4 linked regions of the Saccharomyces cerevisiae S288C genome follow. Changing the gene in region 1 together with any one later gene gives a genetic interaction. Each region holds a gene or a part of one and is shown in the gene's direction. Other genes may lie near its edges.

Region 1 (5,185 bases):
AAACTTTATCTATATCTAATGCTACCTGGCAAAGCACCCCTAATAGAAAACAACCTTTTGAATTGCAAATCAAAAATCCTGTCAAGTCAATTAAACTTGTGGGTCCCGTTTCAGAAAACTATCCATTACAAAAGAAATATCAAACCTTACGTTATTTAAGGTCCTTACCTACACTAAAATACAGAACCGCTTACTTAAGTGCAATTTTACGGTTAAGATCCTTTGTAGAATTCCAGTTCATGCTATATTTCCAGAAAAACCACTTCACCAAAGTTTCACCACCAATATTAACTTCAAACGATTGTGAAGGTGCCGGCGAGTTGTTTCAAGTCTCCACCAATACGTCGCCAACTGCATCCTCGTACTTTGGGAAGCCGACTTATTTGACTGTGTCCACTCAATTGCACTTGGAAATTTTAGCGTTATCACTGTCAAGGTGTTGGACGTTATCTCCTTGCTTTAGAGCCGAAAAGAGTGATACTCCAAGACACCTTTCGGAGTTTTGGATGCTTGAAGTGGAAATGTGCTTTGTTAATAGCGTCAACGAGCTAACATCGTTTGTTGAGACTACAATAAAACACATAATTAAAGCTTGTATAGATAACCAACAAGAACTCTTGCCGAAGCAATTTATCTCTTCACAAGAAAATAATGCATCGTCAGAGCTATCAATAAATCAAGAGACACAACAAATTAAAACACGATGGGAAGATTTAATAAATGAAAAATGGCACAATATAACGTATACCAATGCAATAGAAATTCTCAAGAAACGCCACAATGAAGTTTCACACTTTAAGTATGAACCTAAATGGGGACAGCCTTTGCAAACTGAACATGAAAAATTTTTAGCCGGAGAGTATTTTAAGTCCCCAGTTTTCGTTACCGACTATCCACGTCTTTGTAAACCATTCTACATGAAACAAAATTCCACTCCTGACGATACTGTTGGATGCTTTGATCTACTGGTTCCTGGAATGGGTGAAATAATTGGTGGGAGTTTAAGGGAAGATGACTATGACAAGTTATGTAGAGAAATGAAAGCACGCGGGATGAATAGATCTGGAGAATTGGACTGGTATGTTTCTCTGAGAAAAGAAGGAAGTGCACCACACGGAGGCTTTGGTCTAGGGTTTGAGAGATTTATCTCATACTTATATGGCAACCATAATATAAAGGATGCCATACCCTTTTATAGAACATCTGCAGAATCCATCGATTTTTGATATTCCATTTGTTTCTTATCTCCTTCTATGTATTTACTCACTGTTCACCATTCTTCCCCCCTTAAAAGTAAGCTTTATTTAAGACCATCCTTGTAAATATAATAATGTAGCATTTTTCTTCAATATGAAGGTACTAAACTCCATTTGGCATTCGGCCTGACCTATGTTAATTGACAAAGAATGACACATTCCGCTCATTGGAAATCTCGGATACGAAAATGCCAAAACAAAATATAACAAAAAGTATCTATCATTAGTAAAAAATACTATAATGGTCCTTATCCACAGAGCTTGAATTTAGATCACCTAAAGGAATGCTAGCAAAGGAACTAGGAAGTGGTAAGCATATGAACACACGAATATAAAAGATATGGCGCGTCAAAAGCTTACTTTCAAAGAACAAATGGATGGTTTCCCCTGGGTCCAACTTGTTGTTGTGTCCTTAGTTAGGTTCAGCGAACCAATTGCGTTTTCGTCACTATTTCCTTATGTTTATTTCATGGTTAGAGATTTTAATATTGCTCCCAATGATGCTCAAGTGTCCAAATATTCAGGTTATTTATCTTCATCATTTGCGTTATGCCAAGTCATATCTGCGTACCACTGGGGTAGATTCTCTGAAAAGCATGGCAGAAAAATAACATTGACTTGCGGGCTTATAGGAACATCTGTATCATTGTTAATACTGGGATTTTCACGCAATTTCTATCAGGCTTTGGTGGCAAGAAGTTTAATGGGATTGCTAAATGGTAACGTCGGCGTTATTAGAACCATTATTGGTGAAATAGCAACTGAAAGAAAACATCAGGCTTTAGCTTTCAGTACTATGCCTTTATTATTTCAATTTGGTGCCGTTGTTGGGCCTATGATCGGTGGGTTTCTTGTATTTAGAGATGGAACAATGAATGAAGTGCCACTATGGTTTCCACATTTTGCAAAAAGAATAATTAGGTCATATCCGTACGCCTTGCCAAACGTGGTAGTGTGCATGTTTTTGATGTTTGGTTTAACTAATGCAACATTGTTTTTGGAAGAAACACATCCTGCTTTTAAAGATAGAAGAGATTACGGTTTAGAGGTCGGTGATTTTATTAAGAAGAATATATTTGGTATACAGCCGAAAAGAAGACCCTGGCAAAAGCGCATTCAGGATGATTCGGAAAACATTCACCACCGTAATGAGAATGTGAACAGCATTCGAGGACAAGATAGTGAAGAGGATGAAAATAGTCCCCTAGTGAATACTACCAATGACGATGATACTGAAAGCATACAATCGATTGATCCTATTTTAACAAGAAGACAGTCTGTAGGCCTGATTAGGACATATTCTCTGCATGAACCAACAGACGCTGTGCATGCCAATATAGATACAGCTCCAGACGGTTGTAAAGAAAGTAGTATATTTCATCACGTTTTTCATACAAAAGTATTTTACCCTATATCGGTGAATTTTATTATGGCTTTACATTTGATTGTATACAACGAATTTTTGCCTGTTTTTTTAGCTTATGATTTAGCCGTAGATCCAGAAAATCCAAAGAAGCTGGCTTCAAAATTTCCGTGGAAAATATCTGGCGGTATAGGTTATGAACCAGAACAAACCGGTACTCTTTTGTCGACAACAGGTATCTTTGGTTGTTTTGTGGTTATTTTCATTTTTCCCATAGTTGATCGAAATTTCGATTGTTTAACAATTTTCAGAACTTTAGTCAAGCTGTACCCTATTATGTACGTTATGGTTCCTTACGTTGTTTTTCTACAGAATGAACGGATTCCTAGCTGGTATACTGTCGTCTACTTGTACATAATCACAGGGATAAAAACATTTTGTGGCGCTTTAACGTCACCACAAATTATGTTATTAATTCATAATTCGAGTCCCTTGAGTTGTAGATCAGTCATCAATGGCGCCACCATTAGTATTTCTGCCTCTGCTCGTTTCATAGGTCCCTTAGTATGGGGCTATATTATGTCTTGGTCCCAGCAAAATGACGTCGCCTGGGTCAGTTGGTGGTCGTTAAGTCTTTTTTGTATGGTAGCTCTTTATCAAAGTTATAAGATAGCACCAATTGATGATAACGAAAATGAGCTTCATGGACAGGGTAGTGAAGATGCCTACAATTCGCAGTCACAGTCTTCTGATTTAAGAATGGCTCATCGATCTAGTTTAAGCAGCTTAAGTAACCAACGCTGTACCACATGAGAAATTTTTTTTCAGAAGGCTTGCAAAAAGGATATCTAATAAAAAAAAAAATGAACTCCAGTAGATTTTAGATATCAACCATAACTGGCGAAAATTTGCACCTTTTTGATGAGAGCATGTTATGTCAAGGCATGGCCGCGTGATGGCATTGCACTCAAGATAGTTTCCGGAATTATTATACTCCTTATGTAAATTTCAATCCGTTTATGTAATTATATCCAGGAACTCAATTTGACCAGACAAGTAATGGCGCCCATTTTGAGCGAGAGAACCCATTTTTCTATACAAATTTCACTAGAGCACGGCCGTTACATTTAGTAATAGCCAATAAGGGTTTTTTATCGATTAGTGTTCCCTGCGCTCCTTAACATCATACAACCGAGTACTTGACATGGAGATAGTAGGCAAGTAAACCAAAGTCCTTTCTTCAAAAGTAGAAAACTTGAGCACTTATTTCCTGCGCATGTCATATGTTAATTTTCCTCAACTGCGCTGAATACGTCCTGTCAATTCAAATATATCACGTTGTGAGCAGCCCTGAAGAAGAAAACCTCAACAGCAGTATTACTATTACAATCAAACAACTTTAGTGCCGCGTGATACCGGGGGTTGAAGTGGGTGCATTGAGCCGTATTCTTCTTCCCCGTAAGAAAGTTGTGTATCCTTTTTACTGCGTTGTAATAGCTTCTGAAAACCTAAAAAATGAACGCTATGTAGCTCATATCCGTTTTGCATAAGTAAGAATAACTACTTGTGCAGGGTGCCGAAAGGGATGGAAAACCGCTGCAGCAACCCTTGTTACATACAGTCGGATCCATCTGACTTACTTTCCTTGCGTCTCCCTGCGCGATTTTGTTGGCCATTTTCCAGATCCTCTAGAATTTTTCAAGGGTCGAGCCGTAGGAGGATTCTCTCAGAAGGCAAAAACGCATCGAAAGCGTGCTTTGTAAGAATATTTGGTATGGCTAAAGTAAGCAAAGCCATATCCCGATCCCGATCCCGACTCTTATTCCGATCCCTTCCGCCACATCCTGCATGTTTATTCGAATACCAAATTAGCTCATCTTCGTTATTTCATCATCCCTTTCTGCTATGGCAAGGACAAGTTTTTTTCTAGCATCTCATCGAAAACTTTCCTCTCCCTAATTGGCCAAAGTTTTCATATTCATCATCAGTTAGAAAGTATAATATCAATCCCTTACCTCATTACAAGTTGTATCACACTAAAAAAATCATATATAAGTCTGTGAGAGTCTTCAATTATTTAGCGTAACACCTATTCACTTTCTAATCTTGTTTCTTGTTTTTACATTCTGCAATACAACACAACAACAAATATTAACTCAATTATTATTATTTATAATTACAAAAACAAAACAACAAGTTTGAGACTTTAATATCTTTTGATTACTAAAAACAACAAATTTCAAATGAACGATACGCTATCAAGCTTTTTAAATCGTAACGAGGCTTTAGGGCTTAATCCACCACATGGCCTGGATATGCACATTACCAAGAGAGGTTCGGATTGGTTATGGGCAGTGTTTGCAGTCTTTGGCTTTATATTGCTATGCTATGTTGTGATGTTCTTCATTGCGGAGAACAAGGGCTCCAGATTGACTAGATATGCCTTAGCTCCTGCATTTTTGATCACTTTCTTTGAATTTTTTGCTTTCTTCACTTATGCTTCTGATTTAGGTTGGACTGGTGTTCAAGCTGAATTTAACCACGTCAAGGTTAGCAAGTCTATCAC
Region 2 (4,296 bases), on another chromosome or scaffold:
TTGAAAAAAAGGTGTAAAAGCTCTTTAATTTCAGTGAGGGAAAGTAGTTCATCATCCTGATCATTAGCCGGCTTTTCTGATTGCTTTGAAAACGAGTTAATGTTAAATTTCAAAGAAATTAAAAACTTTTTCAAATCGACAAACTCGGAGAGGTTTGTGCTTTGAAACCTTTTCACAAAAGCCGAATCATCATCAAGTTTTTTATCTTCATCTTTCTCCTTTAACTTGGTTGATGTTGAAGGTGCTAGAAGCCGTGGTGCTGGCAATCTATTTTTCAATGAAGATAATAATGAAACCGTATACAAACATTGCTTTGAGTTGAAACCAAATATTTGTCTTATCCTAGTTAAAAGCTGAGGAATAAACAGAATTTCTTCAGTAGATCTTGGGATGGATAAAGAAACTAAAGTTGCCAATTGAGTGCTACGTTGATGAGTCGTCATTGATTTTAATGCCTTTACCGCAGGAAGACCAGGTGCCTCGTCCTGTTCAAAAGATATAGCGGTTGGATCGTTTAAACTCGTAGAAGTAGGCTTGACGTGTAAATGATTTGTACAGGAAACGCCGTCACAAAGATGGTCTTTGTGTGGCGGTGGAGGTGGTGCCCCCAATGGACTCATTGCAGAACCGCTATTATCACCATCCATTTTGCCATTTTGTAGCTGCTTATTAACCGTTTGATTTAATAAATAGATATTTGTAGAAGACAGATTCAATGGAGCATCTTTCAAATCATGTTTGAAATTGCCATTTATGGTATTATCCGTTGATGTCTGTGGTCGCGACTGTGAAACAAGGCTTATTTGCTGTTCTTTGATATCACACAAAGCTAGCAAACGCTTATTCTCTGCCTCCAGTTCGCGTACTCTTTCTTCCAGGCTTTCTGTGTACCCTTTTGGATACGCTTTCCTCAGTAATTTATCGCTTATTCTGCATTCAAATCCGACAGCAGCACACTGCGAACACTGTGGTCTTTTTCCATCGCACCTTGTTTTCTTAGATCGACACCTGTCACAAGCTTGAGCTATCCTGTAAATAGGTGTAGATAAAGGAGTCGGAGAAGCTGTCTTGATCATTGCTTCCTTCACGTTCTTGGAAAAATGAGGGTTTGCCTCCGAACTTGAAGTTCTATTAGATATGCTAGGACCGCTAAGCGCTTGTGAACCCAGAGTTCTAATGACTCTGGGTTCCAAACCTTGTCGATCAGAATTATTATTTGCCATAATTTTGTGTCTTGTCTTTTACTCAACTTGTAAATTCTCTTTAGGGTGTTGTAACTGTTTATGAAGAAATAAATACCGTAATGAATTATTAAATTATTAAATTCTTCGTCTTTTTACAATATCACAGGTTTAAAGGGGAGTTTAACAAAATCTACTATTTTACGGCTGTTTTCTTTTTTTGAGTGTCACTGACCAATCATGCTTTCGTACCCCACAAAATATCAGCCCCGCCGCTCCATGCATGTCTCGGTTATCGCTTAATACGAATATAATCACTGAGAACCTCGGCGGCAAAAATATTTACCAATAGGCAAATTAAACACCGAAAAAAAGAAGTTTCAAGTAGAAGATTATCCCGAATACCAAAAAATTGCACGAGAAAGAATGTCTTTTTATGATTTATTGCTTATAATACTCAATTACTCTGGTTTTCTCCGTTCCTGTTACGCACATAAACTCTCTCTGTCTCTGATATCACAACTCATATCGCGAATAAACACCGGATAGAAAGAAGTGAGAGGAGCTACGATAACTGAATATACTCTTTCATCAAAAGTAATGTGCTAATAAAAAGAAATGTTGCACCATCTTAACAGATGTAAAAATGTTCTGCAGAAGGAAAGTTGTGTAATCATACACATTCAATAGTATAAGTCGTATCACAATCTGATGATAAAAGTTGTTACCTCTTTTAACTGCCTCTGATCCTTTTCACATTCAGTAATTTCTCGTAGATGTATATGTGCGAATGTGTCAATGTGTTTGTATGAAATAAACTAGTAGCCGGGTAACAAGTACTCCTAAATTCCCGCTTCGCCGTTTCTATCTCATTGGAGTCGTCCCTTCTAGAAGGTTTACTAGTTACGTTAACGTCATAGAAAAAGGAAAATCGACGCTGCGCTTTTATTTATAATCTTGCATTGCCCTCCTTATTTATCGAATTGTTAAGTGTAGATAGGTGACGCTAGAGCCGTATATTAGATTCTTTCAAACCCTGAAGAAAAGTTAAATGAAGATGTTGAGGCGTACAAAGGTAAATTTTTCAAAATTGCTTTACAAGATTACTAAACTAGCAATAGTACTGACGATCCTATATATTTATTTTACGCCCAAAATCGTCTCCCGAAACAATGCATCATTGCAGCATATTTTTCCTCATAAATATGGCGATTATGAAATCAATTTGGTCATAGCGCACCCTGACGACGAAGTTATGTTTTTTTCCCCCATAATTTCTCAACTGAATTCGTACTTTCCGAGAACCGTCCCATTTAACATAATCTGCTTATCAAAGGGCAACGCCGAAGGTCTTGGCGAAACCAGGGTAAGAGAATTAAATGAGTCGGCCGCTTTATTGCTACACAATGAAAGAGCAGTCTCCGTACAGGTGATGGATTTCCAGGATGGTATGGACGAAATATGGGATATTGATTCTATAACTTCTTCTCTTTCACAAAAGATAGATATAAAGAATCATAACTTGAACCAGATTATCGTTACCTTTGATTCATATGGTGTATCAAATCATATCAACCACAAAAGCTGTTATGCTGCCGTTAAAAAGTTGGTGGATGATTATGCTCAACCTAAGACCAAAAGAAATGAACAACCACCTCATGTCACTGCGCTTTATTTGAGAAGCTACAAGAACAACATCGTTTTAAAGTACAACTCCTTTATTTGGGAAATCCTAAAAATACTTTACGACCTGATTTCTCCATTCCGTAGAATAATTCAGGCGCTTCCGCCTAACACAGCCGCCGAAAAAGACAAGCTTTCACTTATGAATACACATGCACAATACGTACTAGCGTTTGCCACTATGCTAAATGCTCACGAATCCCAAGTTGTGTGGTTTAGATACGGATGGTGGATATTTTCCAGATTTGTCTTCGTTAATGAATTTGATGTTTATACATATTAGACTCTACACTGTAGATATATATATAAAAAAGTCCCATATTATTTACATCCTATAGAATAAGAATATGGAGAAAAATAAATGCTAATTCTACTTACACTTTTCTTACCAAAGGCTACCTATAATCATACCATCATCTTCATCGTCATCGAAACTATCTAGCCGCACTTTCTCCCTTTCCTTTTTGTTCTCAATCTTGTTTTTCATTTTCTTACTTCTTAGAAACATACGATTCGCACAAAAAATATTCAAATCTTTGGTCATTTTTCTATCAAAACCATAACTATCAATGAATTCCCTTACCGCTGAAAATCTACCTCTATTTACAAGCTCCTTAATAATACATTTTTGGTATTTGATAATGATATTGTTAACTTTTCCAGCATTTTCTGCTCTCGTTCTTTCGATCCCCGGTTTGAAACTCCTTAAAACATCAATTCCAAGCGGGAAATTGCCTGTTTTCTTCATGATATCGTACAGTTGTCTCAACGTCTCATAATCAACTGAAGGCCTTAGCCGCTTAGATGCATACCACTGCTTCATTAAATGCCAACATCTAACAACAGAAGTGGCTTTCTTGTCGTTTGCTGGTGTCCAAGCAAAATGACTTAGCTGAAACAGCCTTCTCCAAAATAGCGCATCCAATTTCACGTCCGGATAGTGCTTTATGAATGAATCCAAAATACTTAGGCCTCTGTGAAGATCGTGGTCATTAAAGTAGAATGACACTAAGATTGAAACGAGTATTTTGGAACTAGGATAGCACCCTCGGTGCTTAATTACTACGTGACTAGGAAACTCTTGGGGTGATATTTGCCATATATGTTCAATACACCGTTCCAATATTTGGGTTTGGCCTAGGTGTCCAAAGGATTGAATTAAAGTGGACAACAAATCCTCGGAATTCAAAAGCTTTTTCTCCTGCAGAGCAAGATCAGCAATCTTTAATAATGTTTGGTGATCCATGGCTTTGTAAGTAGAAGAAAGACGAATTGACGTATTTTTCGCACCTAGTCGAACCATTTTTCTTAAAAAACCTTGTTTTTGCTCACTATTATCTGGTATTTTCCAATAAGGCGCCAAAGCGCCACAACGCAGTTGTAAAAAGTGAACTATTGTGCTAATATCTGCATTTTTCGGAGACAGTAATAT
Region 3 (4,915 bases), on another chromosome or scaffold:
AAGCGGAATAAGAGCTTTCGTAAACCTTTCTATTTGCACCATTGCGTCAACGTATAAAATGGTATGACCTTTACACAAACGCATGCTTATAATCTTATGTTTTTCATAGGGTGTAATTTGGTTGATGACGTAGTCTAAATTTGATGCTATCTGCAATTGAGGTACATATAAGAGGTCAATTTCGGGACCAACCCTTTTAATCGAAAAAAACGTAATTCACTAGGGCAAGGGAGAACTTAGCAGCTAATATCGTAAACCTTTCATACTAAAAAAATGCACTTACCATCAACAAAAAACTCAGGACCAATTTCCAAGCTTTTCTAGGTGATTGCCTATAACACAAAAAGATTCGCTCATACATGAGATTTTTACATGTAATAGCAATTTGTTCCGATCAGTTGAAGGTCATCAACGCACGGCAGGTACATCCACACCTATCACAAAGCCCTTCAATAATTCACCTACGTAAAGTTATACCGAAACATGCAAAATCCATGAAAAATTCTGTATGATAACGATCATATCCTTTTGTATTGGTGGTACGATGCTCAAAGATAGTTATTGTTGCACCTGAGGCAAAAGCGGAAATGAAAAATCCAGATGGGGCCAAAAGCAGAAGTATTGTGTACAACAATTGCTTCAGCAGTTTACCAAACCGTTTCCCAGCAATCATCAAAAGTTGCTTTAGCCACATTTCCGCAAGATATCTTTGTGGCTCAACGAAGAGGGCTATTCCAAATGCAATACAATACTAGCCGCTAGTGATCCATGCTTATAGGCAATTTGATTGATAACTGGCCGTTCTATTAAGGAGTCAATGCTAACCACATATAATGCATATAGGATTTGGCCTCTGCTGACCGTAATACTAGACAAGGAATATAAAACAACAACGTAACCCAGCATAAAAACGATATAAATAAAAAAAGAAACCAGATCATAAAGTTTGAGGGCACATCCCTCATGGTTTCAAAATCTCGTACATTGACTCAAACCTCGAGATCTTGTTTAAACGAACATAAGAACAGCGGTACCAAGTGACACATTGCGTACTGTGTAGTATGCGCCGTATATAACTTTTTTTTTCTGAAGGTACTTTGAATTACAATCTATTTTTTACAGTTCCTATGGCAGGGGTTGAAGATATTTGGGTCTGAACCATAGCAGGATTAGTGTTATAGTAGGTATGTGAATAGAAGCTAACAAAATGAGATGAACCTCATACAAAGTCGTAGAGAAAACTGCTAACAGAAGAGCTGCGCCTTGAAATCGTATCTCTAAGCTTATAATAAATTGAAAGGAAAAAATACGTGGTAAATGCAAGCGACCAAAAGGCTACGGCCCAACGCTAACCCGCCGATAGGTGCATAATCTAATTTACCTCCACCAGCAGGAGCCCTTTTTCTAAGTAATAAGCAAACCAGATAACTTACATCTTGCTGTAGGAAACAAAAGCCGGAATAATGGTTCACTCATATTCTTCGTGTGAAACACAGAAGAAATCCAATATTTGCTTCAGTATTTATCTCTAAAAATTGGTCCTACATTGGAAACCATAAACCAATTATAACCGGTGTACGAATTGTAAGCTAGTTCTGGAAATGTCATGTTGCGCAGGTAAAAGTGGAGCTGAATTGTATATCTGTTTTGATCATTATTATCCCTCTGGGTGAGTGGAAATATCAATAAAATGCAATGGCACATTTAATATCCTTCTCTTAATTCCGTGATTTATAACATCTTGATGCCAGAAACACCTTTCGGATCCGGCAATAAAGCGGAGATTAGCACGCTTTTCGCCGGTCCTACGGATTTAGTGTTGGCTATTGTTGAGATTAGTAATACGCAGAGAATTTTTCTACCGGTGAAGCGACCATCTCAGATTATTAGGTCAAGCAATAACACTTGTTATTAGATGCGTTACGTTCACCTGGACCCTATATAAAGGCATATTTGCCTTACATTTGGTGTATGGTATCACCTTGTATACTAAGAACATATATATGCAGATATAACAACAGGATATGGTTGCAGAATTTCAAATAGCGAGTGCACAGTCATCGGCATTGACATCTACTGAAGAAGAGCATTGTTCAATAAACTCAGACAAAGCCGCAAAACTGGATCTGGAATTGACCAGTGAACGAAAAAATGACGGCAAACAATCGCATGAAGTGACCTTCAACGAGGACATCGCGGACCCAGAAGATATAGCACGGCATATGAGCACCGCCCGCCGGTATTATATTTCCTCGTTAATTACATTCACATCGATGGTAATTACGATGATCTCGTCCAGCTGGACGCTTCCTTCAACGCACATAATCGAACACTTTCATATTTCGCACGAAGTCAGCACTCTGGGAATTACGCTTTATGTGTTTGGGCTCGGTATAGGACCTTTATTTCTGTCTCCACTAAGTGAACTATATGGACGAAGGATCACATTTTTATACGCCCTTACGCTCAGTATCATATGGCAGTGTTTGACCATTTGGTCCAAGACCATTACGGGTGTCATGTTTGGCAGATTTCTATCCGGGTTTTTTGGTTCAGCCTTTCTAAGTGTGGCTGGCGGCGCCATTGCCGATATATTCGACAAAGACCAAATTGGTATTCCTATGGCAATATACACTACATCGGCCTTTTTGGGGCCCTCTTTAGGACCAATCATTGGTGGAGCCTTATACCATCAAAGTTATAAATGGACATTTATCACACTTCTCATCACTTCTGGATGTTGTCTCGTTATGATCATCTTTACCATACCTGAAACCTACAAACCAATGCTGTTAATACGTAAAGCTAAGAGATTGAGGAAAGAGAAAAATGATCAACGGTATTATGCTGTCCTGGAAGTCACCCGCGAACAGACTTCCTTACTTTCCGCAATCTTTCTCTCAACCAAAAGACCCTTTGGCCTGTTACTTCGAGACCGAATGATGGGTGTGCTTTGCTTCTATACTGGATTGGAACTTGCCATAATATATTTATATTTCGTAGCGTTTCCTTATGTGTTCAAGAAACTTTACAACTTTGGGCCCATGGAGATTGCATGCTCCTATATCGGTATTATGGTCGGCATGATACTCTCGGCTCCTACTTGCTTGTTATTCCAAAAAACGTTTGAGTGGAGAGTCAAAAGAAATAATGGCGTCAAGACTCCCGAAATGAGATTCGAGCCTCTGTTCTACGGCGCCTTTTTGACCCCAGTTGGGCTCTTCATTTTTGCATTCACCTGCTACAAGCATGTCCATTGGATTGCACCAATTATAGGCAGTGCAATTTTCGGTTCAGGTGTTTATTTCGTCTTTACCGGTGTTTTTGCGTATACAGTGGATGCCTATAGAAGATATGCAGCTTCTGGAATGGCTTGTAACACATTTGTGAGATGCATAATGGCCGGTGTCTTCCCTCTTTTCGGACTCCAGATGTACAAGTCAATGGGAGTGAATTGGGCCGGCTTTCTCTTGGCAATGGTGACCGTAGCGATGATTCCTGTCCCATTTCTGTTTACCAAATACGGTGCCCGACTGAGAGCCAAGTCGCCGTATGCATGGGATGATTGATTTTTTTGCATATTTTTTCCTTTGGATGTTGCATAATCTTTTCCCGCTTACGTCATTGGTGATAGATTGTTTCGGATCTTCAAAAGGCAACACGCATAGGCCAAAGAAAAAAGAAATTTTGCATTTTTTCATTTTTGCATATTCTCGCATGTTTTCTTTCTTTTTCTCTAGTTTTCGAATGTTTTTGGCTGCAATGTATATTGTATATAAACCATAAAGGTGCAAAATGCCAGATGTACGCGGCCAATCTTAATTTTCTAGTAAAAGTAGCAGCTAAATCTGAAACTCTCTAGCTTGTAATAAACGAAGGATGACTGTACAAATTCCAAAATTATTATTTTTACACGGCTTCTTGCAAAACGGTAAAGTTTTCTCCGAAAAATCATCTGGTATTAGAAAATTATTGAAGAAGGCTAATGTCCAATGTGACTATATTGATGCACCAGTCCTTTTAGAAAAGAAGGACTTGCCATTTGAAATGGATGATGAAAAATGGCAAGCCACCCTAGATGCGGATGTTAACAGAGCCTGGTTCTATCACAGCGAAATCTCTCACGAATTGGATATCTCAGAAGGTTTGAAGTCTGTTGTTGATCACATCAAGGCCAATGGCCCATACGACGGCATTGTCGGTTTCTCTCAAGGTGCCGCATTGTCCTCTATCATCACCAACAAGATCTCAGAGTTAGTTCCAGACCATCCACAATTCAAGGTAAGTGTAGTCATTTCCGGCTATTCCTTCACCGAGCCAGACCCAGAACATCCTGGAGAATTGAGAATAACCGAAAAATTCAGAGACTCATTTGCGGTAAAACCAGACATGAAGACCAAGATGATCTTCATCTATGGTGCTTCTGACCAAGCCGTCCCATCCGTCAGATCCAAGTACCTGTACGATATTTATTTGAAGGCGCAAAATGGTAATAAGGAAAAGGTGTTGGCTTACGAACACCCTGGTGGACATATGGTTCCAAACAAGAAGGACATTATCAGACCAATTGTTGAACAAATAACCTCTTCCTTACAAGAAGCTTCTGAATAAATCGTAGGTTGTTGCTTACCTGCTTTCTAGCTTTTTACTATCACACGCAGGGTGTGTGGAGTGAAATGCTGATCGAGTATGTATATATACATATAAGTACTTTGTATAGAATGAACCACAAGTTTGTAGCATCCTTTCTCTTCTCTTCCATCCTGCGTGCTGCTAACCCCGCCCGGCGCGAAAAATCCACCCGGGGTGCTTTAGCGTGGCTTACGAAGACCTTTTTAAACATACTTATACTCTTTCTCGAAGGAAGAAAATAATGCAGAAGAGAAACAGCAGAAAAAAAAGAAATCATATTAAA
Region 4 (4,504 bases), on another chromosome or scaffold:
GTTTTCAATGTGGTCAGGATCCGTAGTCCTTATAAATCTTGTATAATTAATGCCATATATTTTGTCTAATTGAACAAACTCTGGGTATAGCTTATCGACGAACTTTTTTGGCTGATCGAAGCCATTGCTTTCACTAGCACACTGGATTTTCAATCCATGTTCATCAGTACCTGTGGTAAAGAAGGATAGATTACCTTTAAATAATTGCCATCGATGGTAAACGTCACTTAATAAGCTGGAGTAAAGATGGCCGAGGTGCGGTTTGGCATTGGGATAGAAAATTGGCGTCGTTACGTGGGAGACCTTAGAGTACAGACGATGCACAATTGATCGACATTGCATGTTTTCTTTCGATCAAAACCTATGCTTTCCTTATTTACCTCTGGAGAATAGTAACATTAAAATTTACATTCTTTTTTCACAGTTGTGCGGATTTATTTGTTTGAAACCACCATTGGACTACGTTTTAGTTTTTAAAGAAAGAGAAGGCACTTCGTAATCCAATGTTGCCTAGTACTGGTATTGCTTGCACTATACAAGGAAGTAAGTGTGATTATGTAATGCTGTATACACTCTTTATTCAAACATAGTTCAGAAAAACATATATACAAATATCGCCCCTAAGCCAATTCCCTTCAGACAAAAATTACCATGAGGGCAAAAACACTGTAGAAAATCAACAGTGGGTAGGCAATTAGCAATCTTGCATTTTGCAATTGGAGCAAAGAATTTAAAAATCCAGACGAGGTCCAAGTACTCCAAATTACAAATAGTACTGATACAACATAACCTGTAGTGTTGTTCAAACCATGGAAAATGCCCAGTAAAGAAAGGAAACACAGAGGCAAAAAGCAGTATCCTAAGATGGACGCTGTATTGAAAAATTGTAGGTTCGTTTGAGTGGAAGTATCGTTATTGCTCATTAATTTCGATAGATTGTGCAAAGAAATGGTACCAAACAAAGCGACACCATAGATATATCCAAAATGAACCTTTCCAGCCATCAATAGAAAAAGTCCGAATAACAAAAAGAATATCAAAGGCCCAGCCAAATCTGAATCGTTTAGAATTTCTTGTGGCACACCACTACCAAAACGTATTGGTATAAGAACCATTTTAGTTTTCGTTATGATATGATCGAAATTTATTCCAATTTCCTCCAGTAATGGAGGTTCATGTGGATATCCCTTAGTTGAAAGAGCATGTAAAATACCTACAGGCAAAGGGTCGGGGGCAACACCCAAATTGTTATCGTTGCCAGTATTAGAAGAACCGACGGTATTTTGAAAACTCATTGACCCTTGGGGAACGGCAAATTGTGCAGAAGGCTGATAAAAGCCACCGCCATTATTAGCATTGTTACTAGTATTGTAGAAAGACATCTCGAGAGGGACTAATAGTTGTCTTGCAGTACTTCCCGTCCAATTTGTAGCTGTTATAAGATGACTTGGTTCGTGTCACGTAGTTACCTCACTCAAATAGCAAAATAATCAATGGTTACCCGAAGTGAAAATTTTCGTGATAATAGCGATGAGATTTAAACCCAGTTATAAAAGTCGTACAATATTGAAGCTGTTGATATTGGAATTGAACAAGTACTAACGAGATACGCATTATCAAAACTAACGTAACAAGCACTACAAAATGGGTATTATCGACAAAATCAAAGCCATCGAAGAAGAAATGGCCAGAACCCAAAAAAATAAGGCCACAGAACATCATCTGGGTCTTTTGAAGGGGAAATTGGCTAGATACAGACAACAACTGCTAGCTGATGAAGCTGGTAGTGGTGGTGGAGGAGGGTCTGGTTTTGAAGTGGCAAAATCAGGTGACGCTAGAGTAGTTTTAATAGGTTACCCCTCCGTCGGTAAGTCCTCCTTATTGGGTAAAATTACCACCACCAAGTCTGAGATCGCTCATTATGCTTTCACGACATTGACATCCGTTCCTGGTGTATTGAAGTACCAAGGTGCAGAAATCCAAATTGTGGATCTTCCAGGTATTATTTATGGTGCTTCGCAGGGTAAAGGTCGTGGTAGGCAAGTTGTTGCAACAGCAAGGACCGCAGATCTAGTATTAATGGTTTTAGATGCCACAAAGAGTGAACATCAAAGAGCATCTTTGGAGAAGGAGCTGGAAAATGTAGGCATCAGGCTTAATAAAGAGAAACCAAATATTTACTATAAGAAAAAAGAAACTGGTGGCGTGAAAGTTACGTTTACCTCCCCTCCAAAGACCAATTTAACCGAACAGGCAATCAAAATGATCTTGAGAGATTATCGTATCCATAATGCAGAAGTTCTGGTAAGAGATGACCAATGTACGATTGATGATTTTATCGATGTTATTAACGAACAACATAGAAATTATGTCAAATGTCTTTATGTGTATAATAAGATAGATGCAGTATCATTAGAAGAGGTGGATAAACTTGCCAGAGAGCCAAACACCGTTGTTATGTCCTGTGAAATGGATTTGGGATTACAAGACGTCGTTGAAGAAATTTGGTACCAGCTGAACTTGAGTCGTGTGTATACAAAGAAGAGAGGTGTTAGACCAGTATTTGATGATCCTCTAGTGGTAAGAAATAATTCCACTATTGGTGACTTATGTCATGGTATCCACAGGGATTTCAAAGATAAGTTCAAATACGCATTGGTTTGGGGTTCTTCTGCCAAACATTCTCCTCAGAAGTGCGGCTTAAACCACAGGATTGATGATGAAGATGTAGTTTCTTTATTCGCGAAATAGTATAAATGAATAGATTTTAAAGAAACATGAAAAAACAAGATCAGCATCGAGAACTGTAGTACGGAGCAGAGATTTTGCATGACTAAACGGACTCATTTTCCTTGTAGTAGAAATAAATGCTGAAAATAGGTTTTTTAGTGAGAACCGGAAGGTGTTACTTTCATGGTATATTCGTATATACTTTTATAATGTAATTTGAAGAGCTCCGTTCATAAAAATTGTCATTCTGGGCTTCAAATGAATAAATAAACCCGAATGACAATGAAATCTCGAAATTATAATAGTGGTACCTAGTGTAGTAAGTATAAAGGAACCTTCTCTGTTGTATCTCAGAATGGGATACCTCAGTATGACAATACATCATCCTAAACGTTCATAAAACACATATGAAACAACCTTACAGCAAAACGAACAGAATGAGCAACATGAAAATAAAACTCTGCCTTCCTTAGCTAACCTACTCTAACGTATAAGTATCTGAACAATTGGTTTAGATCCAAGATTCCGCGCTTCCACCATTTAGTATGATCCATATTTTATATAATATATAGGATAAGTAAGATCCCGTGAATCAAGCTGATAAACCGTTTTGACAACTGGTTACTTCCCTAAGACTGTTTATATTAGGATTGTCAAGAACCTTGACATTACCCCATTGCATGATGCAATAATCTCATATAAATAACAAGCGCAAGTGGTTTAGTGGTAAAATCCAACGTTGCCATCGTTGGGCCCCCGGTTCGATTCCGGGCTTGCGCAATGTTTTTTCCATCCCCAAGTATGGGAACTAAAATAGCTAAAAATAAGTATGAAGTTATATTTTTAAACCTATTTACAGTGTACAAATAAATAATATATCATAAATGACACAGACGTATGTTTTAGGATGCAAAAGTTCAAGCTGCCCTTCCTAATTGAGTGACCCGACCCATCTACCAGAAGCGCCACCAGCTTTTAACCTGCTTATCCTGGACTATTTCCTTTGTTTTCTCCTCCGTTTCAGATCTTAGCTGAGACAGTTCATTTCTGATCCTAGCCAACTCTTCTTTTTGCACCTCCTCCGCCCTCACCTTAGCAAAGTGATCTCTGCTTTGAACGTTATCACCGTTCCTTTCCCAAGGTGATTGAAGGGGGCCCGTCTTCCAAATTGGATCGTCACTTTGAGAAGTTTCCTTAACAATTTTCATCAAAGCCTGCTGCTCCGACTGACGTAGTTTTTTCTCCCTCTCATATTGTAAACGTAATTCTGGGGAAAGCTGGCTGATTAACTGTTGATCTGTTGGCGTTGTGTACTTGAAAAGCAGAAACCCGCTTCCAATAATAGCGCCACCAATTGCATAGACTTTCAACCAACGTACCCACAATGGTCTTTCCATACCCAAATAATGCTTATACTGTCTTTGTTTTGCTATTACTGCCTCTCTAGGAGTTATCGCGCACTGCATGTATATAAAATTTTATCTTGATAAAATACCCCGGGGGATGAGCAAAAAAAGGGATATGGGGAATGAAAAGTGAGATAAACTAGCAATAATCTATTCTAATAAGTAGAACATTCACAAAGACTACTATGGTGTAATTCTGAAAGGATTTACGAGAGCACAAATACTATTATGTATAATTCTGACTGCAGAATCCGGCAAGCTTGATTTAATATCACTTAAGGAAGTAATATCGTTAATTGATAACCGAATATGAATCTCAATGCATATTTTGAAGCATATCAAGCCATTTTTCCTTTTCTGTTGGAGGC

Evidence for each region.
Region 2: mutations in YCR023C (region 1) and GPI12 together harm fitness more than expected from each alone (negative genetic interaction), as found in Saccharomyces cerevisiae (one large-scale study listed by BioGRID).
Region 3: mutations in YCR023C (region 1) and YHK8 together harm fitness more than expected from each alone (negative genetic interaction), as found in Saccharomyces cerevisiae (one large-scale study listed by BioGRID).
Region 4: mutations in YCR023C (region 1) and RBG2 together harm fitness more than expected from each alone (negative genetic interaction), as found in Saccharomyces cerevisiae (one large-scale study listed by BioGRID).

Annotation. Positions count from the first base shown.
Region 1 is NC_001135.5:156,785-161,969, reverse strand, and holds YCR023C (uncharacterized protein), read left to right. Parts: upstream 1-1,596; coding exon 1,597-3,432; downstream 3,433-5,185. Other genes in the region: asparagine--tRNA ligase SLM5, read left to right, coding at 1-1,226; YCR022C (uncharacterized protein), read left to right, coding at 4,205-4,549; HSP30 (Hsp30p), read left to right, coding at 4,863-5,185. UniProt on the Saccharomyces cerevisiae protein: Outward-rectifying chloride channel involved in chloride homeostasis.
Region 2 is NC_001145.3:830,107-834,402, forward strand, and holds GPI12 (N-acetylglucosaminylphosphatidylinositol deacetylase), read left to right. Parts: upstream 1-2,232; coding exon 2,233-3,147; downstream 3,148-4,296. Other genes in the region: DNA-binding transcription factor CAT8, read right to left, coding at 1-1,223; AEP2 (Aep2p), read right to left, coding at 3,250-4,296. UniProt on the Saccharomyces cerevisiae protein: Involved in the second step of GPI biosynthesis. De-N-acetylation of N-acetylglucosaminyl-phosphatidylinositol.
Region 3 is NC_001140.6:202,583-207,497, forward strand, and holds YHK8 (Yhk8p), read left to right. Parts: upstream 1-2,024; coding exon 2,025-3,569; downstream 3,570-4,915. Other genes in the region: FSH1 (putative serine hydrolase), read left to right, coding at 3,880-4,611. UniProt on the Saccharomyces cerevisiae protein: Probable drug/proton antiporter.
Region 4 is NC_001139.9:842,210-846,713, forward strand, and holds RBG2 (Rbg2p), read left to right. Parts: upstream 1-1,644; coding exon 1,645-2,751; downstream 2,752-4,504. Other genes in the region: methionine--tRNA ligase MSM1, read right to left, coding at 1-342; transporter YIP1, read right to left, coding at 636-1,382; CBP4 (Cbp4p), read right to left, coding at 3,684-4,196; YGR174W-A (uncharacterized protein), read left to right, coding at 4,446-4,504.